2 linked regions of the Lytechinus pictus genome follow. The main gene of each other region encodes a partner of the protein of the gene in region 2 in a complex. Links are inferred from orthologs where the notes say so. Each region holds a gene or a part of one and is shown on either strand. Other genes may lie near its edges.

Region 1 (10,386 bases), on a different chromosome or scaffold from region 2:
AGCCTTTTTCTTTTGTATTGAGAACAATAGAGGGGAAAACAATTGTAAATTAATGTACACACCATACATGTATATCACAACAACTTCTCCTAAATCTATGAATAGGTTAATAGGCCTTTTAGCAGAGATGCCAACCCTGACAGGAACATTTCAGTATTTTAAAGCTAACAAGTGGAACGCCTCTGGCAGTCTCGCCTGCATTACGCGATTTAATATAGCAGCAGTGCTAACTTTGAAAACTACAATAACATAATCATTCACAAAAACACCATTCATATAATGACATAATACCACGTTCATTGACCATAAATGACATTTGAACGGTGACTTAAGACTTGTCAACTACACCCATGTCCACATTTCATTCACTCTATCCATAAACTTTCAAAGTTATGATGGCAATTCAACAATTACCCCAACATGGCCTAAGTTTATTGACCTTAATTGACCTTTGACCTTGGTTTTGTGACCTGAAACTCACAGGGGATGTTCAGTGATACTTGATTACTCTTATATCTCAAGTTTTATGAACTAGATCTATAAACTTTCAGAGTTAGGATGGTAATTCAACAAATACCCCCAACATGGCCAAAGTTCATTGACCTTTAATGACCTTTGACCATGGTCATGTGACCTGAAACTCGTACAGGATGTTCAGTGATACTTGATTACTCTTATGTCCAAGTTTTATGAACTAGATCCATAAACTTTCAGAGTTAGGATGGTAATTTAACAAATACCACCAACACGGCCAAAGTTCATTGACCTTAAATGACCATTGACTATGGTCATGTGACCTGAAACTCGCACAGGATATTCAGTGGTACTTGATTAACCTAATGTCCAAGTTTCATGAACTAGATCCATAAATTTTAAAAGTTATGATGGTAATTCAACAAATACCCCCAACTTGGCCAAAGTTCATTGACCCTAAATGACCTTTGACCTTGGTCATGTGACCTGAAACTCAGGCAGGATGTTCACTCATACTTGATTAACCTTATGTCCAAGTTTCATGAACTAGATCCATAAATTTTCAAAGTTATGATAGTAATTCAACAAATACCACCAACTTGACCAAAGTTCATTGACCCTAAATGACCTTTGACCTTGGTCACGTGACCTGAAACTCGAGCAGGATGTTCACTAATACTTGATTAACCTTATGCCCAAGTTTCATGAACTAGGTCCATATACTTTCTAAGTTATGATGTCATTTCAAAAACTTAACCTTCGGTTAAGATTTTGAAAATAATTCTCCCAACATGGTCTAAGTTCATTGACCCTAAATTACCTTTGACCTTGGTCATGTGACCTGAAACTCAGGCAGGATGTTCAGTAATACTTGATTATCATTATGGCCAAGTTTCATGAACTAGGTCCATATTCTTTTTAAGTTATGATGTCATTACAAAACCTTAACCTTAGGTTAAGATTTGATGTTGACGCTGCCGCCGCCGTCGGAAAAGCGGCGCCTATTAATAGTCTCGCTCTGCTATGCAGGCGAGACAAAAATCTGTATTTTGGTGAGGAAATAAGTAGCTTCAAAGAAATACCGTAGGCCAACTCATAAACGGAATCTTAAGAAACCAGTATTTTGCATGAAACCATCAGTATTCTTCTCATTGTTCAGTACTGGATACTGAAAATTAGTACTAGTTGGCGTCTCTGTTTTAGCCCCCCCTTCTAAGGTTTTAACCATGATAGTTAACAAATGCGTGTATCTCCGATCTATTGCTTGATCACTCTTACCTCGACATCTGATACTGGTTTAGCAGTAGGTGAGATAACCTTCTTGATTTCAGGTGCTTTGACCTCCCTTTCCACCTCCTCCTCCTCTTCTATTTCTAATTCTACTTTTCTTGTGACAACAGCTTCTTCTTCTTCCCCTATATCTCCAGCATCAAGGTCCTAATGAAACATGTAGAAATGAGGAATAAATATACTCAAAGGTTTTGCTTTACACAGGGGATAAGCAAAGATGAGAGTCAATGATGTCTTGATGTCAAGAAATGTATTGTGAAAATAAGAGAAAATTAAAAATACAATAACTTTCATTATTTGATGTTCAATTTCAATGAAACTTGCAGTGAGAATGCATGATTGATCTTTCTCTCTTCATTCATAAGGCGGGACGTCAATATCCGGGAGGGGTGTGCAAACGCGTTTGCACGCCCTCATTACTTTTCATGCACGGGCTTGCACGCCACGAAGTTAATGAGGTTGAATTTGCATATCAATAGAGCACCCTTGCGATCATCGCGGAGTGACATAACGAGCCCGTGCAGTCGCGTTCTGGCACTTCTATTGTTCCCGGGCATTGGGATGGCAAGCCTAGAGGAATTTATTGGCGCGTGTAGAGAAGTTCCTTATCTCAATTGTTTGCCGTGAAATGTTGTGAGGGTGCAACTACTAGTACAATGAATGACGATGTGTGCCGTAATTAATTGGTTGGAAGGCGTGACAAGTATTCAAAGGGACAAGAACCTGGACGCAAAAATTTTGCTCCGGCGAATCGCTTATTCATGCTTACACCTTCGTCACATTTGCTATACGGCGGCCGTACGGCGAGTCAATAACAGCCGTTTTAACATTTTATGTACGAGCTACATAATGTGGTTTGTATAAAAATGAATAAAACGGCTGCATTCGACTCGCCGTACGGCCGCCCTAGAGCAAATGTGACCAAGGTATTAGTACCTGATGATGTGAGCTTCCAAAAATATGTATATAATTCCCGTAAATTCCTGACAAAGATGGAAAGGGAAATAAATTTAGTTTTGGCTACCAGCGGAAGTAAAATGCGATCCGTCAAAGCGTTCGATCAACCGCGGCGACCGCGCACAACGTCTACAGGCGCTGGACCCACTGAATCAGCTTGCAGAGCTCTGTTCGCTCCTGAAGATGTGACTACAACCGTGCCTATAACAATTCCAAAAGCGCTGACAAATACGGCCGCATTGTCACTTGTACTTGATTCCTCCGAATTAGTCCTCAGAAAAGTTTAGTCACGACTCAGTATCGTTCTTGCGGTATACCCGCACGCTTAATATCAGTTTGATAGATACCATGTGCGCGCAAGCATACACAATACAAGGTATTTGAGGCAGAGCTTTGCCGCTATGAAACAAAATTCTCTTTACGCTACGTATAGCTCCAATAGCTCTAGCTTTTGCAGTAGCCTACGCAGAATTTTTGAAAGGTAGAGTTCGAGTTCAATGAAAATTTGACAGAGGTTTTCACTCCCCCCCCCCCCCCATTAGGTCTTTTCATAACAAAAAAATTACAAGCAATTTTTTTTTTATCTAAGTGGAGGGGGGGGGGGGTGAACTCCTGCAACATTCCCTGACCTTACCTCGGTCATTAGTGGGTTTTCGCCCAGCGTCGTACGACGCTATCTACGACGTAGAACGATCTCTTTGTTCGTGCGTCCGTCGCGCTCAACTCTCGCTTGTAAGCAGTTTCGCAAATCGCTGAACGCGGCCGGATCCACCGGCTGGCATGGTTGGCATGTAATGTTGACACGCCAACATGTGCATTGTATATGTTCCTACTATGTGCACACAACTGGCAGTGCCATGTGTCTTGCAGTCGCGTCGTCGACCGAGCCATGCAACGGCTTTTCAATCATATTTCAATAATCATACTCGTTTAAACTTCTACTGTAACATTTTGAAATTATACTTAGCTTGATTTTAGTATAATTGAAATGGTACTCACCGAAAAAATCGCATTCGAGTCCATGTTTTGAAGCTTTCAGCTATCAGTGTAGTCAGAGTAGAGTACAACATGTGCATGCACGCGATGGGCGAATGTGTTTACATCGATCGGCTCAGCTTGCTCGCTCTACAAGCGATCTGATTGGCTGTTGACGGCTGTTGACAAATCCTACGTTCTAATGCGGACGCCCGCTAATTTGCGGAAGAACCGTCCGTGATTTGAGCTCAAGAACGCTCGGGCCTCTGTTTCCATGAAAGTTGGCGATTTTTGCACACGTACGTTCTACGTCGTACGACGCTGGGCGAAAACCCACTAATTTTGTTCTATGACGGCCGTGCGGCGAGTCAAAAACAACCGTTTTAACATTTTTTTGTTGTAATAGCTACAAACACGTGGTCTGAATAAAAATGGATAAAACAGGTGTTTCCGACTCACCGTACGGCCGCCGTAGAGCAAATATGACCGAGGCATTAGGAACGCAAAATAATGAGGATGGAAACTTGGATAAAGCAATGTTCATTATTCAATATTTGTTATGACTTCTCTTAATATCATGAAATGGCTGAGCAAATTACTTGTATATTTCTTAAAATAACTCAAAATGATGAAGAAACGAGTATTGATTTGAAATTATGAAATGATGAAGATTGACTTGCATTTTTACATTATAAATTTTTATTTTGCTTCTCAAAAGGGGGCATGGACCGACTGTGCCCCCCCCCCCCCGCCTGCATCCTCCAATGCTCATGGGTACTAGCATTCGTATTTATGCATACAACTTATTGAAATCCTCATCCATTCCCATTTCCCAGTCATGTTCTGTTCTTAATCTCCTTTGTTATTCGTTCTTTGAGTAGTTCGTAGTGGTCAAGAATTTGTTTAAATTATTCTCAAGACCCCAATGCACTTGATTTACTTCGTTTTAGGAAAGATAACTCTTAAAGTCCCTTTGAAGCTTTGAAGTGAATGCCCCGGAGCGACTTGAATGGGTTCGATTAACTACACCGTCTCGCATGTGTTGCGAACAAAGAAGGTGTGAAAATTACAATTAACAACTAACAATAGGAAGAATCCGTTTCAACTGAAGTTACGCAACGATCTCTGATAATCTCTAATTGTGCTTTCTTGACCCCAATGAATCCTCCCAAACCACATTGTCCAATGACGGAACTACTACAAGTAGTCAGCGTTTGTGAAAACGGAATGATGATCGAGGATGATATAATGGTGATGGTAATAATGATGTTGGTGATAATGAAGAAGGATAAGGAGGATGAGGATGAAAGCGGTGGTAATGATGACGATAATAACATTTTTTTGTTTTTTAATCTATAAACATAATAATGATGCACCCTATGAACAAAGGATATATCCTCTGCTCCGCCGCCCGCGGTGATGATTTATTAATGTTTTATGATGAATGTATTAATGTTTTATGATGATGACGGTGATAATGACAGTGATGAAGGTGCTGAGATTAATTATGATAATAATCCTAGTTTTGATGATTACAATGATTATGATTATGGCGATTGTGATGGCATGACAGTGGGGGAAGGGGCATGCTTGTCGAGATTGAATTTCATTTGAAAATTAAAGGTATGTCCTAGACTGAACAGTTTCATGAGTGTTTCTCACCAAGGCGAACTTCTACTTCAAGCTAATTACGGAGCTGCAACTCTCTTTAGTTGGTTCGCGATTCGACCCATGAACCTCATATACAGAGAACGAATGATCAATAACCAGGTAACATAATTGTATACGATGTCAATTATGGACGAATTTTTCTCCTTATGTCTTATTTATCGTATGGTTGACATCACAATGAGGCAAAATTTGATTGCATGGTGACTTCTTTAAAAAAATCCTAAGTTTGGGATTTTTAAGGGGAAGGTAACACTTATGCTGGATTTTCCCCAACAAATATGATTTTTGAATCTTGTAAGAATGATGGTTGAGTGAACAGGAATTGTAAATTTAGTGTAGCCTATTCATCTTGTAGACCTAAGCAGTGTGTTTTGTGAGTCGGAGTAATGTGATGGTACCTGTTACAAGCGAGAGGGCGAGATATGGTAAGACTTGGTTGAAAGGGCATTCATCATCTTTTTGTCATTTTACAAATTAAATTCTTATGTATCTCCACCCCCCCCTCAATTTCCCAGACCCCTCTCACTTCCTGGATGGTAGCCTATTCAAAACTTATTTGCCACTGAAGTGACCAGTGGCTGATAGTCATTTTTTTCTTCTTTTTATTGAATGATTACCAAGAAATTGACTTGATTATAATTTATGAAATACTTTATTGAAAAACTGAACGTTTGATTGATTACATTGCCCACTGAAATAGTTGATTTATTGATAAATTGTTGATTGATAGGAAAAGTTGATGCCCCAATTATCATTAATTAATTATCATTAATTAATTAAATTAACATTCTGCTCTGGACTTCACACGTACATGACAATAAAAATCAGTCACTCAACAGAAGGGGAGGGCGAGAGAGAGGGAGGGGGGCTAAAATGTTCTGTTGACCCTTTTCCCATCAACCTACTTCTCCCACTTACGTCAAATCTCACCCCCTATTTTCCTGACTCCAATGAACACATGACTGATTACGACCCTTTATGTGATAATCGCTTCTCTTCAAGTCGGATCTGACTTTTAGATAATAGATAATCTACACATTTTCGTTTCACGAGTCTTATTATGGTATCGGCAAAGTGAAAATAAAAGATCAATACAGTCGAGCCATAAGAGAAAAATTACGAGGAAATTAATTACGTGCAAGTCAAATATCTTAAGAGTTCAGAAAATTTTGAATACAATTAGAGCCAGGGGAGGGGGGGGGGACTTACGAAATAAGGTATACGGGGATGTGCCGCTGAAATGGGTCGCTCTTTTGGAAGAAATCTCCGGGAAATCTCTAAACATGGGGTATGGTTTTATGCTGGAAAATCCCTAAACATGCATGGCCCAAATTTTTAGATACTTGCTTTTAGATACATGGGTTCATGCCCCCAATTTTTGTCTCGCCCACCGGAGGTGAAGGCGAGACTTAGGGATCCAAATGTCGTCCGTCGTCCGTCCGTCACAAATCTAATGACACATAACTCCACAACCGTAAGTCGATTTTCAACCAAACTTGGATGGTAGATGGACTTGGGGGACCTGCATGTTATGCTGCAGTCAGAGGTCACCTGGTAAGGTCAAAGGTCATTTGCAGGTCAACCTTAAAGTTTATGTACAAGGCTCTTATGACAAGTGTTATTCCATCCCAGTCATTTCACAATGAAGTTTCGATATAATTCTCTTGCGTGCCCTCGCAAATCACGATATTTCTGGTCATTTTCATAAGTGGGCGAGACACAAAATTGCTTTTGCCTTGTTAGATATTGGCCTTAAACATGGGTCCATATTCTCGAATTTGGGGCGATAACCTTTTTTGGTCAAGTTTTAAGCCCTAATAATGCATATCAATTCCTTTCATAGGAAAAGCGCTCCTCACAATTTCCGTATATTTGGCACCGTTTGATACGCGTACCGCCTTGACCGAACTGTGCGAAGTCTGTGTGGTCTGTGTGTAGACGATAGACCGGCCGGCCCGTAAACACTATTTCTTGGGAGTGCATAAACTGTCATAATTTGGTTTATTGTGACATAATAAAATTAATCACTGTAATCAATTAATCACTGGGGGAAAGGATTAAAATGGTACCCACAAAATAAAGGGAAGTACACGAAGTGAAATTTTGTACTTTTTGCATGTCATGGATGAAGGGGGACATCCCGATAGACCGCGGGTCCGATAGACCGCGGGTCCGATAGTCCGCGGGTCCGATAGACCGCGGGTCCGATAGACCGCGGGTCCGATAGTTCGCAGTGTGTGTAAAATTATGATCAGATGTATCAAATGTCATCGAGAGGTCCAAAGGTCAAATGATACGAGACCATGGGGTTCTATCAGGTGCGGATCCATGGGGGGCCGAGGGGGAACTGCCTCACCCCTAGCTCAAAAAAAAGAGGGGGAAGAGGGGAAAAGAGAGAGAGGAAGATGGGAAAAGAAGAGAATAGAAAAGAGAGTAAGGGGGAGGAAGGAAGAGAAGAAAAAGAGAAAAGAGAGAGGAAAAGAGAGACAGAAAAGACGGGAAAAGGGAGAAGAAAAAGGGGAAAGAGAAGAGAAAAAAAGAGAGGAGGGAAAAGGAAGAGAAGAAAAGAAAGGAGAAAGGAAAAGGAGGAAAAAGAAGAAGAAAAAAGAGGAAGGAAGAGAAGAATATTTAAATAGAGAGGAAGATGAGAAGAAAGATAAGAAAAAGAGAGAGAGAGAGGAAGAGGGGAAAAGAAGAGAAGAAAAAGAGAGAGGGGGAAGGAGAGGGAGAGAAGAAAAAAATTAAAAGAGAAAAAGGGGGAAAGGAAAGAAAAAGAAAAAAGGGGGAAAAAGAAAAAAGCGGAAGAGGGAAAAGAAAGGAGAAAGAAAAGGGGAAGGAAGAGAATAATATTTAAAAAGAGAGGAAGATGGGAAGAAAGATAAGAAAAGAGAGAGAGAGGGGAATAGAGGAAAAGAGAAGAAAAAAGGAGAGAGTAAGGGGAGAAGGAAAAGGAGAAAAAGAGAAAAGAGAGAGGAAAAGAGAGAAAGAAAAGACGGGAAAAAATAGAAGAAAAGTGGGAAAGAAAAGATAGGGGAAAAGAGAAGAAAAGGGAGAAAGGAAGACAAGAAAAAAGAGAAGAAAAGGGGGAAATAAAGAGAAGACAAGGAGAGAGAGAGAGGAGGAAGGAAAAGAAGAAAAGGGGAGAGGAAGAGGGGGAAAGAAAGAGAGAAAGAAAGAGAAAGGAAGGGGATTGAGGATAAGAGAGAGAGAAAAAAAAAAAGGAGATGGGAAACGAAAGAGGGAGATGTTGACCCGGACGTCGATTTGATGTTCGAACTATAGGCGGCGCCAAAATAACATTCGAACTATGGGGCGCCGAACTGATGTTTGAACTGGGAGGGGGGGGGGGCGCGAAATTGATGTTCGAACTATGGGAGCGCCGAATTGATGTTCGATCTAGCGGGGCACCATATTGATGTTCGAACTATAGAGGAGCGCTAATTTGAATTTTGACCATAATGCGACAAATACATGTTTCAGAAGGGGGGGGGGGCAAAGTTATATTTCACATGGGGGCGCCAAGTTTATGTTCAACCGAGGGCGCCAAATTGACCTTGAACTTAGGTTGCTTCATGCAAATTCATTTTCGACCGGGGGCGCAACATTGCTCGTATTGCCTGTTTATAGTGAAATATATGTCCTGCCCAAAAAGCTTAAATTAATGCGGCTGAATTAAAATATCCCGTTTTTACGATAATTATAATAGACAAAAACAATGTTTTCAAGTTTTAAGTCTGTTTAGCGAGATAGATATCCTGTTCAGGGTCACAAAAAGGGGTTATTATCAAATTCAGCTCGCGCTACGCGCTCGCAATATTTCATCAATGAGGTATGCATCATCTGCATCAATCCTACATGTAAGTGTTAGTGTTCTTCAAGTCAACATACATAGGCCGATCCACGGGGCAAAGATTTTGCCCCCCCCCCCCCCATGGTGGCGCAAAAAAAGGGTAAGAAACAGAAAACGAAGAGAAAAGGGACAAGCAATTAGAATAGGAATTATACCTTAGTCCTTCTTAAGTCAGTATATAAAAAATTGAGCTCGCGCTTCGCGCTGGCATCAATACATTGTTTAGTTATATACGCATCCCGACCTCGCAGTTTTTTTTAAGAGAACGAGAAGCACAAGCTGAAAATATTTGATATTCTAACCTGACAACTGAAAATGTATTTTTCATTTTATCATTATAAAAGTTTTCAGCTAGCACTTCGCGCTCGCATTAATTTCTTAATAGATATGCATCGTGTTCATCATAACAACTACTAACATAGGCGAATCCAGGGGGCCCGAGGGCCCCTCCCCCTATTGACGGAGCAAATAAATTGGGAAAAAACGGGGAAAGAAAGAAAAAAAGAAGGGGAAAGATAAAAGGAGGAAGACGAGTGAATAAAATAAGGTCAGGAGAAGACTTGAAATTTTTTTTAAGTATTTAATGTCACTATATTAAAATTTCGCTCGCGCATCACGCTCGCATTGCCTGTTCGATGAGATACATATCTCGGTCAATATAGGCTGATATATAGTTCAAAAGATAAAGTTTTGAAGTCAATATACAAAACATAATTCAGCTCGGACATCGATCTTTCATTTTTTTTGTTTTATTTGCCAATGTTTTTTTTTTAAGTGCTCTGGAAAATGTCCGTTTTATGGTGTGAATCAACATTTGCAACATTTTGTGCGCTCGCATTATTTGCTATGTAGGCTAACCTTTTGCCTTTTTGTATTTCATATAAGATTATCTAAATATTCCTTTTCAGGTGTCTCGATTCTAAAAAAAAAGAAGGCTTATGCTCACGCTGTGCTCTCGCATTTTGGTGAGTTATATACACCTATACTGTATATTAATTCTATAACAAACTACTTAAATCCCCCCCCCCCCCCATTTAAACATTTCGGATCGCAATGAATCCTATTCATGATTATAAAAATACTTAACATTTCCAGTTTTCAGGCCACATACACTGTCAACAAATTTCACACACTCATTAGGCTTATTAGATTAATAAATATGAAATAAA
Region 2 (9,759 bases):
CCTGCAACATTAAATCAATCGAATCAATTTTACAAGTGATTGTATCTGTGGGTTTATGGCAATACATGTACAGTGCATTACAATTGATTCTAAATACTTGTGGGATCTTTTGAAGTTACAGGTTGCTGGTAACTATTATGACCATTCAATATTAACAAATAATAAGGTACTATCTGACATTAACATCAACAACTTCTCTTGTGACAAGTTGCAAGCTGAAAACTTCACAAGTTTAGAATCTCAACATCTCTTCTAATCAAACAATTGATATTACAATAAATATGCCTATCCTTGCTCTCTCTAAAACTCAAGTAATCGATTGTCTACTCGAACCAGCATGTTGGTCCAAGGACAAAGCCTATGGGTATCACAGAATACAACACAGCAATTGATTGGGCCTTATTTGCGTTGTGGAGCGTTGTGGCCCAGTGGATTAATCTTCTGACTTTGAAACAGAGGGTCGTGGGTTCGAATCCCAGCCATGACGTAATTTCCTTCAGCAAGAAATTTATCCACTGTGCCGCACACTCAACCCAGGTATGTTTAATGGGTACCCGGTAGGAAGATATTCCTTGAATGCTTTGCACCTAGGCAGCCCAGCTAAAGCCGAGGCAATAATAATAGCAGGGCCCGCTGGGAGAACAGTTTTCAGAACTGAGGTGGCTTCCCTGGGTAAATATACCTATATTATTATTATTATTCAAACATGATTAAAAGACCAAACATATTGGTTTCCTTTGGGTCAGTGTAAAAAAAAGAATGAAATAGCTAAAATTAAATCAAAAATAGTTGAGCATACCCTTTGTAGCTATAGTTGATATAGACTTGGCAGACCTGGTATCCCATATCCTGATCGTCTTGTCTCCCGATGCGGTCACAAACACATCTGGATTTCTGGGATGCCAGCACAACTGATCCACACTGCCGACATGACCCTTGTACGTTGCTTCTCTGGTCTACGGTGAAGAAAAATTCATAACAAGAAAACTATGTGCTGTCTACAAGAATCATCTGTAGTTGAACATGAAGAAAGATTTGATTTTGTTTCCATTGAATGCAATATTCCTGGCAAGCATTCCTTCCCTCACTTGCCTTGAATGGGTGCATTGACCATGGGTCTTTCTCAGAATTATTCAACAAATAATCTGCAATAAAGATGGCCCATGTACCAGTACCTTTCCCACAATCTAGACTTAAACGAGGAATACGAGTACATGTTTTGCATAATCCGGTCTAAAAAGTGCTTCAAGTTGGGTGAATATTCAACTTAAAGAAAGGTCTACTTTATACAACTTGCAAGTTCACATGTATCTTGAATTACAGGGATCATAAGGGATGTACTACTTTGACTTACTTTAGGAACTTCTAGCTTCAAGCTATTAATCAAGGCCCTGCTCTATCAATTTTTTTCCCCTCAATATTGTTGCTGTTGCTGATCGCATGCTGCACCTCTGCTTAGGAAAAAACTTAGCAATATGGCAAATGCATGCCATTAGATCCATGTGCAGGCAATTGGCAAAAATATCAAAAAATACAAAACTTCGAAATTGTGAAAATAGCAGAAAACTTTGATTTGCGCCTTGAATTTATTTAAATGCTAAACATCTGCTATCATGGATATCAATGTCAAATAACTGAAAATGGCAAAGAACTTGGTCGGGTCTCAGAGTCAGACTTGTCCCGAAGAGACAAGTAGGGTCTAAAAAAAAAGAATTCCACTTCTTCTACTTCCACATTAACTCTAACTAAACTAAAGCAAACTAGATAATTTTGACATACGGTTTGACAGTTTATTATTGATGCTGATATCAGTTATAACTTGAGCAATCAAATTGTCTCAAACAAATTTTAATCCTTTTTTAATCTATTTTATTCATTTTTTTAATTCCTAAAATGTCTTATTCAATTGTGCCTAATACATGTATGACCATTAGTTCTCGCGTTCGTTCACGGTATCAATCGGCCATTTTGTTTTCAATTTTGAAAGCGAGAGATAAAAACGCAACAAAGAGGATCTAGATCTAAAGTTAGATGTAACTTTTCCTTTTTTTGAGGGTCAAGTTTGTGCCTCAATGTCAGGATTCTGTGTTTAGATAGACCTTCATCCATATAGTGCGTCTTTTTCGGTAAGTAATGCGATCTCTAAAAGTTCACGACGGACTCCGCCATCACCACGATGTTGTAGAGAAGGTGAATATCATCGTAAACAACCTCGAATAGTAGTGCGTCTATTTCGGTGAGTCATGCGACCTCTAAGAGTTTACGATTACCTCCGCCAACACTACGATGTTGGGGAGAAGGTGAATATCATCGTAAACAACTTTGGATAATAGTGCGTCTTTTTCGGTAGGTCATGCGTCCTCTAAGAGTTCACGATTGCCTCCGCCATCACCACGATGTCGTAGAGAAGGTCAATATCATCGGAAACAACTTCAGATTGTAGTGCGTCTATTTCGGTAGGTCATGCGTCCTCTAAGAGTTTTACGATCACCTCTGCCATCACTATGATGTTGTAGAGAAGGTGAAGGTCAAGTCAATCTTGACGTTCATATGCCATAATAATCATTGTAATGATTGTGGGCATTAACGGAAAGACAAGACAAGACAAGAAGAATATCATCGTAAACAATTTAGGATAATAGTGCGTCTATTTCGGTAAGTCATGCGTCCTCTAAGGGTTTACGATTACCTCCGCCATCACTACGATGTAACTTGTAGAGAAAGTGAATATCATCAGAAACAACTTCGGATAGTGTCGCGCGCTGCAACGTCATTATCTTCTTTTCCTTCCTCCGATTATGTCGGAGATCAAAACAAATCATCATCTTCTTCCTCCGTAACGTTGGGGAAGTACAATAAGAAACAAGATGGCGGCGTAAACATCGGGCAAGTCTCTTCCGTCTTTTCACAATATTTTTTCATTTTTTTGATGAATTCTTGTTTTAAAAATAACAACGAGAACGTAGAAATGTCGGAAATGAAGTTTTATCCCATGTACATGATTTAGAGCTAGATCTTTTAGAAGGAAAGTAGAAATCTCGGAGGTGAAAGTTTCAGGTTTTGGCTTCCTTTGTGTGGGTCTATGAGATAGAAGGCCTGGCTTCGTATGAGAGTAACCTTACGTTAGTAAATGATTTTTACTCTCTAGAACTAGTACTATAGTAGAAGCCGCCTGGCTAGGTGGGCAGGGGTATCGTAGACAGCAAAAAAATTCCATGGCATGAGCCATGACTTTGAGAACACACGAGAATCGAAAATCATGAATTGAATTGTATACAAATTGATTTTAATTCTAGCTAACAAATTTTATTTGTTTATCATACATTTCAGAAATATCCCGCATATAGCGAATAATAAAAGATGGGCGACACGAAAGACGGTCCTTGGGCTTGGTCCTGCAAGACCCTTTCGTGTAATCGGCCAAGCGGGCCGGTGCTCCCTGGGCCTGGGTTAGCGAGATAAGATTAAGAGTGCAGCGACGCGACACGGCGCGGCATCGGCAGTCAGTCATATTCAGACATAACTCACCATCCTATCTCTATCCAGCGAAAAGACACAAACATTTCTATCAAACGATCCGGATGCAAGCATAGTGCCATCACAATTCCATGCTACAGAGTGAACTTTCGATGAGTGAACCCCATTATGTTCTTTTGTTCGACAATTCTTCTCGAAATGTTTTTTAATCATGTTTTCTGTGGAAGCTGCCATCTTGATGTATGGTACGCTAATTTGGGGATTCCTATTGAAAAGGTGAATGTATCGTAGACCCATTATTTCTCGTCATTGATGATAATGATGATGATGATGATGATGGTGATGATGCCCGGTGATGATTAGACCACATTTAGAGTATGCACATGCCGTATTGAGTCCTACTTGAAGAAACATATTCATGCACTAGAAAATGTACAAAGAAGGGCCACTAAATTGGATTATGAGGTTAAAAAAACCAAAAAACAAACAACTTCCATACGAACAAAGGTTGATCCTGAACTAAATTCCCTACTTTGACATACCGCCGTGCGCGAGGGGATATGATTGAAACTTACAAGTTCCATGCAGGAGTAGTGCCAGATCTGGGTCAGTTGCATGGGACTATCGAGGTCATGATAAAATAATTGTTTATCTCATTAAGATCAGTCACTGAAAAAAGAAAAGAAATCTTTTTACATTAGAATGAGAAAACCATGGAATAGTCTCAGTAATGAATTAGTTATGCCCCCATAGTGTCTTTGAGAATGGACTGGACAAGATGTGAACCAGTGAAGTTCAAGTTTGACACTGACCCACCAGGACATGATCCGGCCAACCTAAAGAGGAGAAGGAATTTGAAACTGAATGCAGAGTCATAATGACTTCGTTCAGTTGTTCCATAAGTATCCAGAAGTAAGTATGATAATGATATGATGATGATGATGATGATGATATGATGATGATGAGGAGGAGGATGATGAGGATGATGATGATGATGACGATAATTATCACAATCAGCACTCTCATCACTGTCATCATCATCATCATTGTTATATAGGGCCTATATTTTTTTATATAAACAAAAACAAAGAAGGGTACAGAAATGCATGCATGGTCAGATAGGAAGACTAGGCCTATAATAAACCTAAGAGAGAGGACGGTAGATGAATGATAGGTTTTCCCGCTCAATTTCATCTAAATAATGTAATTTAATTTAATTTAATTTTGCGTTAGCCATGATCACCTCGGTTATTTGTCAATGTATTTCATTACTTGTCACTTGAATGTATTTTCCGCTTAAAATAACTATCAAACAAGTCACTACTGAGAATTTAGATAAGCAGCATAATATGTTTAACGAATTCGCAAGGATAACCATTTTCCCGCACTTTTGGTTCATTATCTCTGCAAAATATTCTTCTTCTAGTAAGTGTATCACCCGAATTGGTGCATTTTTATTAATAGCATGCAATTAAAGGAATGGGCATTCATAGGTCTACTTTTCCTGTTATAAAATGTACTTTATAGAATAATAATGTTTTCCTAGAATAAAGGCACCGCGGATTGATGGAATGGAGCCATATAGGCCCCTTCCAATTCCCTTCCAAATCCGTCATGCTTGACAATTTGACATACAGATGATCACCCATGAAATTGACTAGAGTTGAAAGTATTATCATACAGGGACACGTCAGCGGTGGATCCACTTTTGAGAGGCACAAAATATTAGGTTTTTTTTTTTGCTGGAATGTGTCATGCATAGGCAATTTGGGGACCCATTTTTTACTTGTCAAATTTTTCCTTAATTGCACAAACTCGATTTTGTAGTTTTTTTTTCAGGTTCTCATTTTTTTTCTGTACAAAATGCCCCCCCCCCCTTGGAAGATCTTGGATCCGCCCTTGGGACTTGTAATAAACTTGAAAAGAACAAAAAAGAAGAAAGTAAATATCAATGGAAATGCCCACACAGTCAGCATTGTCGGGTGAAAAGGAAGAATATATAGAATAGCCCTTAACACCTTTGTAAAGGAAACGCAAAAGTTGCAAAAGATGCAATATAAATTGTTTTTATGATGAAAACTAAGGATATTGTGGAAATTCAAATTTGGGCTAAACAAATAGCCACAATTCAAACAATTCTGATTGTATTATAAACACATGTTTATACATTAATATTAGACACATATTATGAGCATACAGATGCCATGCAAAACAAACGATTTGCGCATCATTAATTTGAACTCTCAAAAATGAAATTGGTTGCTCAAGGTATCGGTCATTTTTTATTTATTGATTGCGCAATTTCTGAATTTCCGACATTGCCCAAAATTAAGAAGTACATTCGTTAATTTGTAAGACCATTAGCGAACCTCTTTGCCTTAGAACGAAATCTAAATCACTGATGACACATTTTGAAATGATCAAATTTGAAATTGTATTGACCATAGCTTTTTTAATGATTATAAATGAATTCTAGTGTCTTTAAATGAATCCCATTGTCTGCTCTTCGGGAAAACGTTTACGTGTGAATTTAAATGCACATAAATAAATCCAAATGACTCCTATATGAAATTGGACGGTCTAAAACTGGAGAAACGTAGAAAGAGGTAAAGTAAGTCTCCCCGATGTTATTCAAATTCCATTTTAAATATCCAAATCCTTAAAAAAAGCTTTTTATCATATATACGTACAGGCCCCTCTGTCCCCAAAGTATACCGTTTTATAACAAACACACATGATATTCATACTTTCAATAAATTCTCTTCACTCGGCTGAATAAAATTCTTCCGATTTAATGGAATTTTCAATATTTTGCTTGTTTCATTTTTATCCCTCCTGTTTATATATTCAATTCAAATTGTTGTTGGGGTAAGACTTTTGGTCTCTGATAAAAACAATGCCTTAAAAAAAAAAAAGAAATCCGTGCAGCCAAAAAAGTTTAATAAAGAGTTTATTTTATTGATGTGAATTATATGAATTTATAACAAAAATCAAATACAAATGACTCATTTTTTCTATGTAAATGATATTAAAAAGTATGTTTGAGGGTTTGAGAATATAATTATGATCGAGAGACAAAAAAGGATACTTGCAAAGGAGCATATAAACGCCGGGCACAATGGCCATATAATCGAGGTTTCATGATAATAGCAATTTATCATGAAACCTCGATAGTTTTAACCCATGGGTTAAAACTTAAAAGTTCCAACTAGATTTCTGTTTTTTTTTTTCAATAGAACATTAGCCTACCGCGGCGACTTTATGTTTTCAAAACTTTTTCCTAATTTATTTAGAAAACCATTTCCTGGCCCTTTCTAAACCTTTTTGACCGGGCCTTCTGAAAATGTTTAGCGCTGAATTGTGCTGATCTAAATTTGAATATATAGGCCTTTACAATATGCCCCTAGACCTCCAACAATTTTTATTAACCTCAAGTCTGTCAAGTCTTCAACCATTCTCTATAAAGCGGTCGAGCGCGACTGAGCGCGCGCTTCCGAAAAGTTGGATTAGAAGATGACGTCTCTACCACTAAAATAGATCACTGCTGACCTACCATCTCACCAGATCGAGGCTGCTCAATCAGGAAAAAAATACTTGCGATTTGAGAAAGAAATCATGAATTAAAAGAAATATCTTAAAAGGGAATGGGAGATGAGAGCTAGGATAGTCAGTATCTTTAATTGAAAGCAAGTGAGTTATTCTAGCATATATCAGCATTGATGGATCTCTCCTGGCCAAAAAATATATTATATCAGTTATCACGGTACCATGTACCATTACGATGAAAGAAAGGTGAAATAGAGGGCAATGGACGAATCCATTAAATTGTATGGGGTTTCTTTCTACGAGAGATATATTGTGTTGATTAATTCACATTGTTTAACTTATAAAATCACGTTTATTTTAATGACATCGTATTTCAATAATCTCTTTCTTTTTACTATGATTTTTATATGGAAAATAAGAACGAATATTAGTTTCAGAATGATTTATGTCCCCGGTAAGTCCCTCGTAAGTTATCGTTGTGACCTATACGTACTTCCGGTTGAGTCGTATACATATTGCATTTATTTGGAAATCGCGAACTTTCATCACATGGGCGAAATATCAAGACGTGCTGTGTCCAACATATTGTGAAAGGCGATTGTTTCATATTCTTGATTTTCGATGCAAATCATTTTGGAACAGAACTGATTTGAAGTTAATCGACCAAGATCCTGAATAGGTTTGATCGTGGAATTTTGTACTGTTAAACTTCAAATATACAGTTCAAGACGAGCCACACGCTGTTGTCGATACAGCGTGTTGGGGCCATTGATTGAGTTTCATTCATTTGTTGCAACCAACCGGCATTGGAATTGCATTGAATAGATCTGCAGAAGGCCAAACGTGTGCAAATAAATAAGCACACTCAAAGCTAGGCAACAACCTTGCCAAATCTGATAATATAAATCAACACTTTAGTCTTGTTATTGTTAGTGGAACTAATTATTGGTGAACAAGAGTGTTGATTGGAGAAAGAGAGACAAGGAGTAGGAACAGAATAAGAGAAAGATGTCTGCACAGGAGGAAACTGCAGCTGACAGGAATGTCGAAATATGGAAAATCAAGAAACTGATCAAAAGTTTACAGGCAGCAAGAGGGTATGTTCTCATTATTGAGTAGGCAATGAATGGTAGGGTCATGAACTGTTATTGTCTTATGAATTGGCACTCATCATGCTCATTCAATGAACAAGGTTGTGATATATTATAACCTTGTTCTCAGTTAAAATATATCTCCATGTGTGGCAAAATAAGGATGGCAATGTTTGGCTTATTTTCTCTTTTTCTTGGGGACAAATGCTTGATTTTTTTACAAATTACACTGACAGTTTCCATTACACCTATTCGTCATACAACTTGGCCCTTAAGTAAATTTGATTCTTTAAATTATTTTTTTCTTAATTAGAAATAGTGATAAAAAATGAAAATTTTCTTGCCATATTATAATTATTTTCCACCAATAGAGGGCGTACACAAAAATATGCCCAAAATTCAAGTTTTTGAGTGCTCTAGTGAATACAAAAATTATTCCCAAGTTACTAATGAAAAATAAATTGCAACTGTACGGAAATTAGTAATTTTGGTCACAAAAGTGATATTTTAATCATTTTTTAAAGTGTGTGCTCTGTACAGCATTGGCATGCCATAGTCCAACCTGTAGATTCCCCACAGGCAGGGTGGTTGCAGTGAACAAGTGATGAATTGGTAAGCAAAGTAGAACGAGTATACATTACAAGCAAGGTCTCTAGTCTACTTGTTTGTTGTAACGTTGGCATGGTTGGGCATAGACAGTTGGCAGCTGTCTGTTTCGAGGAGTTTTTCAACATTTTATTTTTTTTTATTTCTCCTCGTACACAGACGGCTCGCTATCGTGCAGCCACCATTAGGGGGTTAACAATGCAAAATCCCCCTGACGGGGCTCATTGATTTTGTCTTTATTTCATAAAAATATATAAAAAGAACTACCAAAATAAAGATTATACCGTTTTGGCCTGAAATGCACCAAAACGGGGGAAAAAACAGTGACTTCGGCTGTCGCGCAACTTCACTTCCCTGTTTTATCCGAACTCAATACATTAACATATGGCCATTGAGTCCCTGTACAGATCGAGCTAGAACTTCAGTCTCTGTATTTGGTGAGTGGAGCCAACAGAGTTCAGCGAAACAATCAACATAACAGAGACCGAAGCTTTTGGTCTACGTTGGGCATTGTTGTGTTGTATTAAAGCCAGTTGCAGGTTCATCATTCCATGTTGGATGACTTCAGTCCAGAGAAATGACAAAGCCCAAGGCAATAAATACTACTAGACCGACAGAACAGGAATCACCGTGATCATTAAATTGAATGACCATCAATATGATCATGATCATTGATCATTTGATGGTGAATGTAATGACCATGATCATGTGATGACGGGTGTTGCTCGTAAAATATATATTTTTTCATACTACAGATATTACACATTTTAATTAACAAATTTACCCTTAAATACTATTAATCAAAGAGTTTGTTTTTCTCTAGCTGCAGCTGAAACCTTAGTCAAGATATGAGTTGGGTGAGAATTTGAGAAACATTGATCTAAATTCTTCTCCTTCCTCCACTTTTATTGGAGATCTGCATAAAAATGCAGAGCATTGTAATCCAGACTAGTATAAGTTGCATATTAATTTCATTGAGGACAGGAAAGAGATATGTAATACCGTACTTGAATAAAAAACAAATAACAGAGTAGTCCAA

What was found.
Region 1: THO complex subunit 3-like (region 2) and SAP domain-containing ribonucleoprotein-like share a complex: the UniProt entries of both Homo sapiens proteins name them as parts of the transcription/export (TREX) complex. The link is inferred for Lytechinus pictus from reciprocal best matches to the Homo sapiens genes THOC3 and SARNP.

Annotation. Positions count from the first base shown.
Region 1 is NC_087257.1:27,958,410-27,968,795, reverse strand, and holds the start of SAP domain-containing ribonucleoprotein-like, read right to left. Parts: upstream 3,821-10,386; 5' UTR 3,745-3,820; coding exon 3,721-3,744; intron 1,912-3,720; coding exon 1,753-1,911; intron 10-1,752; coding exon 1-9. UniProt on the Homo sapiens protein: Binds both single-stranded and double-stranded DNA with higher affinity for the single-stranded form. Specifically binds to scaffold/matrix attachment region DNA. Also binds single-stranded RNA. Enhances RNA unwinding activity of DDX39A.
Region 2 is NC_087256.1:25,213,235-25,222,993, forward strand, and holds the start of THO complex subunit 3-like, read right to left. Parts: upstream 3,739-9,759; 5' UTR 3,712-3,738; coding exon 3,529-3,711; intron 957-3,528; coding exon 800-956; intron 1-799. Other genes in the region: eukaryotic peptide chain release factor subunit 1, read left to right, coding at 8,032-8,120. UniProt on the Homo sapiens protein: Component of the THO subcomplex of the TREX complex which is thought to couple mRNA transcription, processing and nuclear export, and which specifically associates with spliced mRNA and not with unspliced pre-mRNA.